3 linked regions of the Arabidopsis thaliana genome follow. The protein of the gene in region 1 interacts with the protein of each later gene in a biochemical or structural test. Each region holds a gene or a part of one and is shown in the gene's direction. Other genes may lie near its edges.

Evidence for each region. Proteins that work in one complex are often made in the same cells at the same time.
Region 2: of the proteins of HIS4 (region 1) and HAM2, one has a biochemical effect on the other in vitro, tested with the Arabidopsis thaliana proteins (one study listed by BioGRID).
Region 3: of the proteins of HIS4 (region 1) and PRMT11, one has a biochemical effect on the other in vitro, tested with the Arabidopsis thaliana proteins (one study listed by BioGRID).

Annotation. Positions count from the first base shown.
Region 1 is NC_003071.7:12,328,803-12,331,720, reverse strand, and holds HIS4 (histone H4), read left to right. Parts: upstream 1-1,661; 5' UTR 1,662-1,766; coding exon 1,767-2,078; 3' UTR 2,079-2,376; downstream 2,377-2,918. Other genes in the region: AT2G28725 (forkhead box protein G1), read right to left, coding at 2,778-2,918. UniProt on the Arabidopsis thaliana protein: Core component of nucleosome. Nucleosomes wrap and compact DNA into chromatin, limiting DNA accessibility to the cellular machineries which require DNA as a template.
Region 2 is NC_003076.8:3,021,373-3,026,647, reverse strand, and holds HAM2 (histone acetyltransferase of the MYST family 2), read left to right. Parts: upstream 1-1,884; 5' UTR 1,885-1,936; coding exon 1,937-2,243; intron 2,244-2,588; coding exon 2,589-2,677; intron 2,678-2,779; coding exon 2,780-2,839; intron 2,840-2,923; coding exon 2,924-3,133; intron 3,134-3,399; coding exon 3,400-3,468; intron 3,469-3,637; coding exon 3,638-3,799; intron 3,800-3,879; coding exon 3,880-3,973; intron 3,974-4,059; coding exon 4,060-4,202; intron 4,203-4,303; coding exon 4,304-4,507; 3' UTR 4,508-4,716; downstream 4,717-5,275. Other genes in the region: HEC3 (basic helix-loop-helix (bHLH) DNA-binding superfamily protein), read left to right, coding at 1-247. UniProt on the Arabidopsis thaliana protein: Histone acetyltransferase which may be involved in transcriptional activation. Acetylates 'Lys-5' of histone H4 (H4K5ac). Essential for gametophyte development. Negative regulator of flowering controlling the H4K5ac levels in the FLC chromatin.
Region 3 is NC_003075.7:14,489,969-14,494,560, forward strand, and holds PRMT11 (arginine methyltransferase 11), read left to right. Parts: upstream 1-1,653; 5' UTR 1,654-1,770; coding exon 1,771-2,008; intron 2,009-2,103; coding exon 2,104-2,114; intron 2,115-2,236; coding exon 2,237-2,392; intron 2,393-2,488; coding exon 2,489-2,552; intron 2,553-2,632; coding exon 2,633-2,775; intron 2,776-2,865; coding exon 2,866-2,953; intron 2,954-3,060; coding exon 3,061-3,176; intron 3,177-3,266; coding exon 3,267-3,417; intron 3,418-3,578; coding exon 3,579-3,784; 3' UTR 3,785-4,033; downstream 4,034-4,592. Other genes in the region: AT4G29490 (Metallopeptidase M24 family protein), read left to right, coding at 60-101, 243-313, 508-561, 642-747, 844-912, 999-1,142, 1,252-1,353; AT4G29520 (nucleophosmin), read right to left, coding at 4,088-4,276, 4,398-4,529. UniProt on the Arabidopsis thaliana protein: Methylates (mono and asymmetric dimethylation) the guanidino nitrogens of arginyl residues present in a glycine and arginine-rich domain. Type I arginine methyltransferase active on both histones and non-histone proteins.

The DNA of each region.
Region 1 (2,918 bases):
TAATTGTATAATTTCCGGATTTAGTGTGGGACCAACTAAATCCATCAAGATAGTGCTTATCTCTTCCAAATACGACTAACATGTTGTTACTAAGATGTTATTACGATGATTTGTGCTTAGTTGACAGAATGAGTCATATATCTTGTGAAAATTGGGATAGTCAAAACTCTTTTGTCAAATTAACGGATAATAGTTAATAGTGGTGTTTAATCTGAGTATTTGTTTGAGTTTCTGATTTATGAATCTAGTATATGTCAATTGGTACAATCAAAGAACCACATTATATATCACTCACACCATTTTTTTAAAAGATTGAATCAAGAACACACATTGTTAAGAGAACACTTAAACAAAACTAGTGGCTCTCCTCTCTTTCTCTTAATATGTGTTCGGTCTTAACACGTGATAGGTAGAGAGTATTAATTAGACAGGGTATATACTAGTTAATTGGAGATACTTTCAACCAATCCGCTGTAGCACACATGTTTATTTCAATGATGAAATCTGGGTTCAAACCCGGCAGCGGAATAGTTTTTTTCTTTCATTTTGGTAAAGGACCGATCCAAATATACCTTAACAAGTTGACTTTGCAAGAAAAAACCATTGGAGAAGAGCAGAGTTTTGATCTTTGATGAGCTTTGTGTTGAATGCGATTCATGAAGGAATTTCTTGGCTGCAAGTTTCTTTCATCAAGATTTGTGCGTCTAGTTATGGTATGAAGCTAATACCAATATTTTGCATATCATTTTGTAGTTGAAAGAAATCTTATAACAGAAATTTTGAGTTCATTCTTCAAGATTTAGATAAGTCTTCAACTTGTTGAGAATTCTATGACAAACACTCATGGTATTCACTTTGGAGATTAAATCAAGAACACACGTTTTACGAGTTTTTCGAGATCGATATGATCCTAGTACATTTCAGCAAGAACAACACCTTGTAATTTACCATCAGTGGAGTTTTTGAGTTATAGAAAAAAAGGAGAAAACAAAAAGACTAGATATACAAGAGCTTTGGAGCTCAAGGGCTTTATAACAATATGGTTTTCAGTTAGAATAATAATCGTCACCTCCTTACAACGACATTGCTTCATTCTAGCTAAAGCACACATCCTTACGTTGTCCTGTAAAAATGCTTCAAACCAGAACATTCCAACAAAAATAGAGTCTCGTCTCTTCTTACGGTTAGTACACAGTAATTGTTTCTATTAATTCAATGGAGTTATGTTCAACATATCCACTATACCACATTTGGATTCAAACCCTTATAGTAGAATATGTTTTTTTTTTTTTTCCAAGTGCATTCAACTTGTCCAAATAATAATAATGTAAAAAAACAATTTTTAAATTTTTTAAAATATATGGATAGTAAAAAAAGAGATCTGAGAATTTACCTTTTTTTATGGTAGCTGAAAAGTAAAAGTAAAATATACTCCATAGTTATACTAATTATTTTCGATATCCATTGTAATTTAGTACATATAACCGGTCCGGTTGACTCACTTGGTTCAAAAGGAAAAATCAAAAATCCACAATCCGTGACTAACATAATAACCCAATCTACAACCGTCGATTCATTAATAATCAAGGATCCATATATCTCATAAACCTTTCTCACGGATCGTTATCTTTGACCGTCCGATCAAACAATAAAACGAACGGTCACGATTCATTTTCTAACCCAAACAATCTTCTTTATAAATAAAAAATAAATTCTTCTCTACTCATCAGAAAACTCAAATCTTAAAACTTTCTGGAAAAACAAAAATGTCAGGAAGAGGAAAAGGAGGAAAAGGGTTAGGCAAAGGAGGAGCAAAGAGACACAGAAAGGTTCTAAGAGACAACATTCAAGGAATCACAAAGCCAGCGATTCGTCGTCTTGCTCGTAGAGGAGGTGTGAAGAGAATCAGTGGATTGATCTATGAAGAAACGAGAGGTGTGTTGAAGATTTTTCTGGAGAATGTGATTAGAGATGCTGTTACTTACACTGAGCATGCGAGGAGGAAGACGGTGACTGCTATGGATGTTGTTTATGCCTTGAAGAGACAAGGAAGAACTCTATATGGATTTGGTGGTTGATCAATTTGAGATCTGGGTTTTCTGGTGAATGATGATGATTTAAGTCTTGCGATCAAGAAATTCCAGAAATTGGGTTGAATTTTAGGGTTTCGTTTTGTGTTGTAATTAGGGCAGCATTGTAATGGATTAATGATAAGTACCATTTGCTCTAATTACTCTTTAATCTCTGAAATTCATGGTAAAGGATTATCAATCGAAAACTAATCAAAGGAATTGATTGAACTATGTTTTTGAAGATTGAAAAACAAATAAGGACTAAATGTGAGCAATTTAAAGTTTAGAGGTATAAGAATCGAATGACAAATATGGACTCAATGTGAGCGTTTTAAAGTTCTTAGCTTTATATATAAGATTCATACACTTAATTGGCTTATAATATTTCTTGCAAAAAATCATTTTCGCATTCCCTAGTGTAAGAATTTGTTGTGAAAATTATTCAGAGTTTTGTGAAATCTAATGACACGTCATCGATCCAACACATATTTGTAACGATACATTCATCACCGTCAGATCAAATAAAATGAACGGTTAATATAAACAAGAAAACAGTTTCTAAAACAAAAAAGAAAGGGCCCTACCGGATTCGAACCGGTGACCTATTGATCTGCAGTCAATTGCTCTACCACTGAGCTAAGGACCCTTATTGATTAATTAATATCAATTACATACATATAACCCATAGATATGACGAAAATGTCATCAACATTGTTCTTCGATTTCTTCTACAACACCTTCAATACCAAAACATGATCGTAATAAAGAAACAGAAGCAATGACCATAACTCCTGCGAATATCGTTGGTAAAAAAACGTCTAAATATGAATTCTTCACCATTTCTGA
Region 2 (5,275 bases), on another chromosome or scaffold:
GAGGATCAGAATTCTTCAGAGACTCGTGCCAGGTGGCACTAAAATGGATACGGCTTCAATGCTCGATGAAGCTATACGCTATGTCAAGTTCTTGAAACGGCAGATCCGGCTACTCAATAATAATACCGGATATACTCCTCCGCCGCCGCAAGATCAAGCTTCTCAGGCGGTGACGACGTCATGGGTTTCACCGCCACCACCGCCAAGTTTCGGCCGTGGGGGAAGAGGAGTAGGAGAATTAATCTAGACAAGATGACATTTCCATTAGTAGTAACTAAATTATGCTATAATGTGTGAGTAATGGTGCAATTATGGAAAGTGTTTATATATAATAAAAATGGATACGAAATAAGGGTTTGTTAGGATATATAATATATTGTTGTTGACCGTGAAAAGGTTGTGGAATAATCATAACGGTTAGCTTGAGTTGTGTACCACCATATATTTAATATTATGTTATCATTTCGTATATAATAATAAGTTCTTGATTTGGAGTTTGGTTGTATACAAGTTTTGGCCGGGCATTTTTCGGGCATAAGAACCATGACGCCATCAAAGAACCCTATTTAAATAGTGTTATCATTACTGTGGACTTTTGTCTTTGTATACACACAACGCATATATTTGTGAAGTACTATATTTTAGAGCATATAATATGAATGTACTCTATTGCTTCATTTTCATCTTTTTACGTACATACCTCACTTTGAACGTTAATACCTATACATATTGAAAATCGTTTTGTTATGATTAGAATAAGCTTTAAGAATTCCTAAATTACAATAAGCTTTAGGGCTTTTTTTTTAATATATAGCTTCACAACTAGCAACGAAAAATCCAAAAAGAAAAAAGTTGTTATGAAAATAATATCCGTACGTTTAGTCTATTAGATTATACTTGTTAGTATCCGATTAAACATCACCTGAAAACTAAAAAGTCTAACAGACTAAACGTATCCGATTATACTTGTTGTAAAAATGTTAACGAAAAATGTTTAGCTATAGTAACGTTTAGCATAATGAAAATTACGACAATCATCCCATAAAATGATGTTTTGTAATATAAAGTAATCTCAAATTACAACAAACCGATAAGGTATACAGATACTCTACTCCAGAAAGAGAGTATATATCGAGACATATTATAAAGAGGATGGTGCAGAGAAAATGTACTTGCTCGTTTTGTCTTCGAATTAATGAATAGAAGTTCAACTAAAACAGTTGCAAGATCTCTTTTTACCTTCCCAATAATAAAAAGAAAACCTTTGACTACAAACAAGCATTAAACCACCAGAGCTTTGCTCCACACTTGTTGGTCAGAAAATCTCAGAAAAGTAGCAGAGAGGTTAATTCAAGGAAACCTATGCTCCTTGTTCACTTCACTCATGGATACTTCCGCTGACTTTTGTGTCTCCTCACATTCATAGGTTTTAATAAAGACACAATGAAATGTCAGTGAGATTCATGGAAACCTAGCTATATCCATTTTGCTAACGAAATCATTTAATATATTTTCTTTCTTTTTGCCACATAGTTATACATTCATTCACATCCTAGAGATAATTGCAAGAACTTAACGTCTAACCAAATTATTTAGCTCAAACAATGCATTAATAGTCACTAAATAGCCATGGGTATGATTCATATATTTTCAAATCTAATTCGTTTTACTACAGAAATATTTCAATGTGATTCGAGATAATTCTTACATGATCAAACAACTTTCTAATTTTATGAATAAACTGTGATCCCGGTGAAAATGTATGTACTTCACACCATTAAATATCAATATTTTTAACGGCCCATAAATATAGGCCCAATTATGTGAAAAGTTACTAATGGGCCTGATTTATTTCAAGTGTCCGTTTTTCTCTCTCTAGTTCTCTTACTCGTATGAGAAAGAAAGCCCACCCGGGAATCTCCGACCCGACCGAGAAATGGGATCGTCAGCGAATACAGAAACCAACGGCAACGCACCGCCACCGTCGTCGAATCAAAAGCCTCCGGCTACGAACGGCGTTGATGGGTCTCATCCTCCTCCTCCTCCTTTAACTCCTGATCAAGCTATTATAGAGTCGGATCCGTCGAAGAAGAGGAAAATGGGGATGCTTCCTCTAGAAGTGGGTACTCGTGTGATGTGTCGGTGGAGAGACGGGAAACACCATCCGGTGAAAGTAATTGAGCGCCGGCGGATACATAACGGCGGTCAAAATGATTACGAGTATTACGTTCATTACACTGAGTGTATGTCGTTTAATTCCTTATCAAGTTTTGATGTAGGGTTTTCAATTTTGGTTGATTCGTACTGTTGAGCTTCACAAAGGTGGAAATTTAGTCAAGGGTTTATAATGTAGGAAGAAAAAAGAGTTAAATTGCAAGACTTTATCAATTGGATCATTGGAATTGGCTTCAAGTTGTGTGAGATTTTTGAGAAGGAGATCAAATTCTGCATTATACTTTGCTTCTAAAGATTTTGAACCATTTATACTATTGTGATTAAGCTGAGTAATATGATGACAAAGTTGGTGATTTTGAAATCTTATGATCATCAATGTGTTTGATTTTGGTAATTTGTTTTCGAAACTGCAGTTAATAGGAGGCTGGATGAATGGACTCAGCTGGACCAACTGGACCTTGATTCAGTAGAGTGCGCTGTAGATGAAAAAGTGGAAGACAAGGTGCGTTCTCTAGTTTTGTATTGTTAGTTGCATAATGTGGATTTCATGAGTTTTCTCATATACGTTTAGCAATGAGCAGAGATTTATGTCTGTGGTTTCTAGGTAACAAGCTTGAAGATGACACGTCACCAGAAGAGGAAGATCGATGAGACACATATAGAGGTAATGAATGCCAATATAAGGCGGGTCCTGGAAACGTAAGGTTTGTGTTGATTCAGTATTCTGTGTTTCGAAATGTTTTTATAGGGTCATGAAGAGCTGGATGCAGCAAGTTTGCGTGAACATGAAGAGTTCACGAAAGTGAAGAACATATCAACAATTGAGCTTGGAAAATATGAGATTGAGACTTGGTACTTCTCCCCTTTTCCGCCAGAATACAATGACTGTGTGAAGCTCTTTTTTTGTGAGTTTTGCCTGAACTTCATGAAACGCAAAGAGCAGCTTCAAAGGCATATGGTGAGCAACTGTTTTTCTTTATCTTTGAAGTCTTATGATGCTTTTTAATTACATTTCCATTGCGAGCTTCAATAGTCTGGTTTCACATCTGTATTCTATGTTTTTGCATTCCAGTTTCATTGCTGAAGATAGTACCCAACCTTTCAGATTCTGTTGAATATTGTCACTGACTTGCATATCCACATTCACGGTTCATTAAAGTTGCATTTATATGGTTTTATTTTATCTTGTAGCTTTTGTATAATTTCCTTACTTTTTTCCTGCAGAGGAAGTGTGACCTGAAGCACCCACCTGGTGATGAAATTTACCGAAGTGGTACCTTGTCAATGTTTGAGGTAATATCCTGAGATAGGTCTCTGGTCTTCTTGCTCTGGATATGATGTATCGTTAGCTTTCTCTTATGTTTTTTTTTTTCGTATATGGATGCTGATTAGTTTATCTCTCATCTGGTTATGTTCTACATTAGCAGGAACGTTTTTCTCTAACCGTACTCTCATCTTACAGGTAGATGGCAAAAAGAACAAGGTTTATGCACAGAATCTCTGCTACCTGGCAAAGTTATTTCTTGACCACAAAACTCTTTACTACGATGTTGATTTGTTTCTATTCTACGTTCTTTGCGAATGTGATGACCGAGGATGCCACATGGTTGGGTACTTTTCAAAGGTAATATAGCAAAGTAGTTACATATATGTTTGGTTTCCATTTTCCTGTTTGCTCATAAACGTAACTTCTACTGGGTCCAGGAGAAGCATTCGGAAGAAGCATACAACTTAGCTTGCATTCTAACCCTGCCTTCATATCAAAGAAAAGGCTATGGAAAGTTCTTAATAGCCTTTTGTAAGTTCTTTGCCCATTTGACCCTTTTGCTCTTCTCAATCCCATGTCCACAAAAATAAGTAACAGATTGTTCTTCTGAGTTGCAGCCTATGAACTGTCAAAGAAAGAGGGAAAAGTTGGGACACCGGAAAGACCCTTGTCGGATCTAGGCTTACTAAGCTACAGAGGTTATTGGACTCGTGTTCTATTAGAAATCTTGAAAAAACATAAGGGAAACATTTCTATCAAGGTTAGATTGTGTTTCAAACTGATAAAAAGTCTTAGGCTAATCCTGGTTTCTGCGATCTAAGAATCCACTCATCTGTCTCTGTTTCATGTATGATGATGTAGGAGCTGAGCGACGTGACAGCAATCAAAGCGGAAGATATATTAAGCACACTTCAGAGCCTAGAACTGATACAGTACAGGAAAGGACAGCATGTGATCTGTGCGGATCCAAAGGTTCTGGACCGACATCTGAAAGCTGCAGGCCGAGGTGGTCTTGATGTAGATGCTAGCAAACTGATTTGGACACCTTACAAGGACCAGAGTTAAGAGTAAGTACACTCCTCTTGTGCCATTGGATTTGATTTGAGTGTGTAAGTAAAGCGGGCTGTCTTATTCTCCTGAAATGTAAGTGTACTTTACTTGTAAATGTTGAAATCGTACTTGGAATGGTGTTTGTTTACAACTCTTATAATGAGGAAATTTGAAGCAATTTCATAGGTCCATCTTTCTTTTGCTAGTATGTATGTGATCATTTGTATTTAGTATATATATATATATATATATATAAGCCTTAGTTGTTTCAAATGCATATATTTGCATTTTCTGTTGCGGTTTTGTGTGAAAATGTTATGTTCATAATCACAAGATACATTGTTGACAAATATATCAAACATATTTTTCAACTAGTAAACGATATAGTATAGCAAACATAAAAACAAGGTTGGACAAAAATGAAATAGTTGCAAGTTATTGAATCAAATATTCAAATGTGCGTAAACAAATGTTTCACAACTTAGAAACCGTAAAAGTTGGAATCTCTGAATCTAACGCAACATTGTCTGCGAAATTTGGCCAAGATATGAACTAGGTGACATAGTATTTTGGTTTATGATTACAAGAAACGTTGATAAACAATCAGTTCAGAATCTGTCTCTTTTACAATATGTTGTAATTTTATAGAAAATGTCAAAATGATGTTGATATTCCACGATAAAGCCAACTCAAAAATGTCGATTATTCAGTCCACATCATCATTCATGACCACCGAACCTACACTTTTGGTATTAGGTTTATTGGTGCCAATGTGGTCCATAT
Region 3 (4,592 bases), on another chromosome or scaffold:
TTTGCTGAATGTAGTTATCTAGAGAAAGTGGTCTCTAATATTTATCAATTGGTGTGCAGGTCAATGGTAAATTTACAAGTGACCAGAGTCTAATCTACAATGTAAGTGCCTTACAAGATTGGTGCAACGTGGATGTATTAGAAATGTGTGCTCTATTTTTTGTCTTCGCACAATCCAGAGTTTGGTGAGTCTCTTGAAGCTTTACATCTGAATAAGTTTCTCTGATTTTGCCTTCCTTTCAGGCTGTTCTGGATGCACATAATTCTGTAATCTCTGCGATGAAGCCAGGAGTAAACTGGGTGGATATGCACAAGTAAGTCTTACTGAGATGCTATATAGCTCTGTTCTACTATGCATGCAGATGCAGTAATTGGGATTGACAATGTAAGCGTAAACTCAGTTGCTTTGGTCCATTTTGATTTATCCTCTTGTTAGGGAGATAAATTGAAATACATCTCCATATGGTTATTCAGCTTTCTTTGTCGACTGAAGCAAATTAATGTACAGGTTAGCTGAAAAAATCATCCTTGAGTCACTGAAGAAGGGGTCCATACTCACTGGGTAATTCTCTCTGTGTTAGACATTTCAATACTCTTCTCTAAAGGTTAATTCATTCTCATGGTTTCGTTCTCTGTTCCTAGTGATGTAGATGACATGATGGTACAGCGCTTGGGTGCTGTTTTCATGCCTCATGGACTAGGTCACTTCATGGGCATCGACACTCACGATACTGGTGGCTACCCAAAGGTACATCAAATCTTTTTTCAACCCAATAGTATCATCACGTAAATAAAACCACAGTCCCTGTGTCTTACCCGTTGCTTTGATCTTTCATTCTTTTAGGGAGTGGAGAGACCAAAGAAACCTGGATTGAAGTCATTACGAACTGCAAGAGACCTACTTGAAGGAATGGTAAGGGCCGATTGTTTCAAGTAGAAATGCTTTTGGTTCTTCTCATTTATCGTCTCTGTTCATTGTCCTAATCGTATTTATGTCAGGTAATAACGGTGGAACCAGGATGCTATTTCATCAAGGCATTGCTGTTCCCAGCCATGGCAAACGCAACAACCTCTAAGTTCTTCAACCGTGAAACAATAGAGAGATTCAGAAATTTCGGAGGTGTCAGAATCGAAAGCGATTTGGTAATGTCAAATTCATATTCACTACAACGTCTACAAGTTAAAACACTCTCAAGAGTAATGTCATATACAATAATCTCATTTTGTTGTATATGTGTGATTTCTTTTTTAGGTCGTTACTGCTAATGGCTGCAAGAACATGACGAATGTTCCACGAGAGACATGGGAGATCGAAGCTGTGATGGCTGGAGGGCCTTGGCCACCGACCAAGTGATCGTAGCTACTCTTAGGCAGCTTATGGAAATTAAAAACTTGATAAGTAAAACTCAATAATACAACCTTTATTTTTGTTAATGGGAATAAGGAAAAATTGCCTGTGTTTTACTAATCTTGTACATGTAGTTTATTTTGTTTCAGTGTCTTGTTTGTGTGGTTGGATATTAAACCGATTGAATGTTCAAGTGGACAGATAAAATCTAACCGGTTTGGTGCTTGTCGACGAAAACCGAACCGGTACAGAAAATATCTTGAGCACAATTTTAGTTCTAATATAAAATTCATTAACAAGAGAGAAAAAAAAAACTTCAAATTAAAAGCTTCGTGTCTTCATAAAACCCTAATCTCGCGACTTCGTCTCTATCCCCAAAAACCCTTTCCTCTCTTCCTTCTTGTGTGAGACCGAGAAAAAAAGATGACTAAGAACAGTAACCACGACGAGAATGAGTTCATCAGCTTTGAACCAAATCAGAACACGAAGATACGCTTTGAAGATGCTGATGAAGACGAAGTTGCTGAAGGGTCTGGTGTTGCCGGCGAGGAAACTCCCCAAGATGAGTCCATGTTCGACGCCGGAGAGAGCGCCGACACCGCTGAAGTAACTGATGATACCACCAGTGCCGATTACTACTTCGATTCTTACTCTCACTTTGGTAAATTCCCTTTTTTCAAGTTCTATTTTTTTCCTTGTGCTCTTTGGTTATGAATTCTTACTAAGAGTTGAATTTGGTTCCACTTTTTTTTGCAGGAATCCATGAAGTAAGTATCGAGGACAAAGCTCAGTTTTTTTTGTTATAGTTTTTGTTCTAGAAGTTTAATGTAATTCATTGTGTTTTCTTCTGTATATATCTGATGACTGAATTGAGAATGGTATCTGACAGGAGATGTTGAAGGATGTTGTGAGAACAAAGACTTATCAGAATGTTATTTATCAGAACAAGTTTCTTATCAAGGACAAAATTGTTCTTGATGTTGGAGCTGGAACCGGAATTTTGTCTCTGTTCTGTGCCAAGGCAGGAGCTGCTCATGTCTACGCTGTATGTCTTCAATCTTTCAGTCTCTTTTTTAATAATCATAAGTAAGAAGAATCTTTTTCAATTTTGACTGATTTGATTGAGGATGTTTCTTAATAGGTTGAGTGTTCTCAAATGGCTGACATGGCAAAGGAGATTGTTAAAGCTAATGGATTTTCTGATGGTAGGTCTTTTATCCATGTTGAGTTGTATTCAAATCGATAACTTCTGTTCTGTAACATGATTTTTGTTTTATCGATGCAGTTATTACGGTATTGAAAGGGAAGATTGAGGAGATAGAGCTTCCCACTCCTAAAGTGGATGTGATTATATCGGAATGGATGGGTTACTTTTTGTTGTTTGAAAATATGTTGGACAGTGTCTTGTATGCTCGTGATAAATGGCTTGTAAGTTACAGCTCCACCTTGTTACATGAGATTCTTAGTTACCAAAACCAATTAAATGAAATCTTCTTGGTCCTGTGTTTTTATGGATAGGTTGAAGGTGGAGTTGTGCTACCAGACAAAGCCTCTCTGCATCTTACAGCCATAGAGGATTCAGAGTACAAAGAAGACAAAATCGAATGTGAGTGCATTGATTTGACACGTTTTCTCGTCTTTTTTTTTCCAACATTGATCTTGATGTCTGTTGAGATTTGCATTTTTAATTTCTTTTTTGTTGTTCTGCTACAGTTTGGAACAGTGTGTATGGTTTTGACATGTCATGTATTAAGAAAAAAGCTATGATGGAACCACTTGTTGACACAGTCGACCAAAACCAAATCGTCACCGATAGTAGGCTTCTAAAGGTATATAAGATATCATATGATGATGATTAGTAGTATCTCTTTACCTGTGTGACTAATGTTCATTTCATTATTCTTATGGGTTTGTAACAGACGATGGATATCTCAAAGATGTCCTCTGGTGATGCTTCCTTCACAGCTCCCTTTAAGCTTGTTGCACAACGCAATGACTACATCCACGCCCTTGTAGCCTACTTTGATGTATCGTTTACCATGTGCCACAAGCTGCTGGGCTTCTCAACAGGTTCAGATCTCTACAATCTTGTGCTAGCTCTGAGTATTCTATTTTTTTTTGGTGCAAAGAAATGGCATGTTATCGAATAACTTGGTTTGAAGTTTAAACATAGCACATTGTTTCATTATGATCTGAAACTTGCACTGAACAACCATATGTGTCACATGCAGGACCGAAATCCCGAGCTACACACTGGAAACAAACAGTTCTGTATCTAGAAGATGTGTTAACCATATGTGAGGGTGAGACAATCACTGGAACTATGTCCGTTTCTCCTAACAAGAAGAATCCTCGAGACATTGACATAAAGCTAAGCTATTCTTTGAATGGCCAGCATTGCAAGATCTCAAGGACCCAACACTACAAAATGCGTTAAAGTTCTCTCATAAGAAGCAGAACTTCAGAAGATACAATTCTCATATTGTGATTTAGTTTTTATATTTCTTTTTCTCCAGATTACAACTTTCCATTTGCTTCACATTGCAACATTTGCTTCATCTCAAGTTAAATTAATGATTTTGCTCTAAACCATCTCGTGTATGTTCCTTGTTGATCACAAAACTGATGTCTGTCAACACTTTTCAATATTCTCTCCAAAAGATTATAGAAACTAAAGGAAATCTACAAAAAGCAAGTGTGAAGAAAGAGTACATTAAACAAAACCAGTTTAAAACTGTTTCTATAGCTCAGACTTTCCGGATTTAGGTTTCTTTGAAGAAGACGATCCAAGTCCTTTCCACCATCTCCGGACCCGGTTTGACACTTTCTGTGCATGTCTCTTCAGAGCCTCACCTTTCTTCTTGAACTCCTTAGTGATTGTCTTCTTCAATTCTTCTGTTTTACTCTCTTTCTCTTTCAAAACTTTTCCCTAAAAACCAACAAAACCATACAAGTGTTTTAGAGAAAAGAAAGAAAGATCTCGGTTTCCTTCTTCTTCATGAAAGTTTAACCCAAAGATTTGATCATTTGAAAAAAGAAACTTTATGTACCAAGTTCTTGGGAAACTTATCATCTTCTTCCTCATCTTCATCATCGTCGCCATCATCATCTTCATTACCGATATTCCCCTTCTCTATATCTTCTCTAGAGTATACCTTCATGCCAGGTGCTCCTGGCATACCCTGAACATAGCGGTAAAGAGTAAGCTTAAGATCATTCCATGGATATGCATTCCTTGCTTAGTG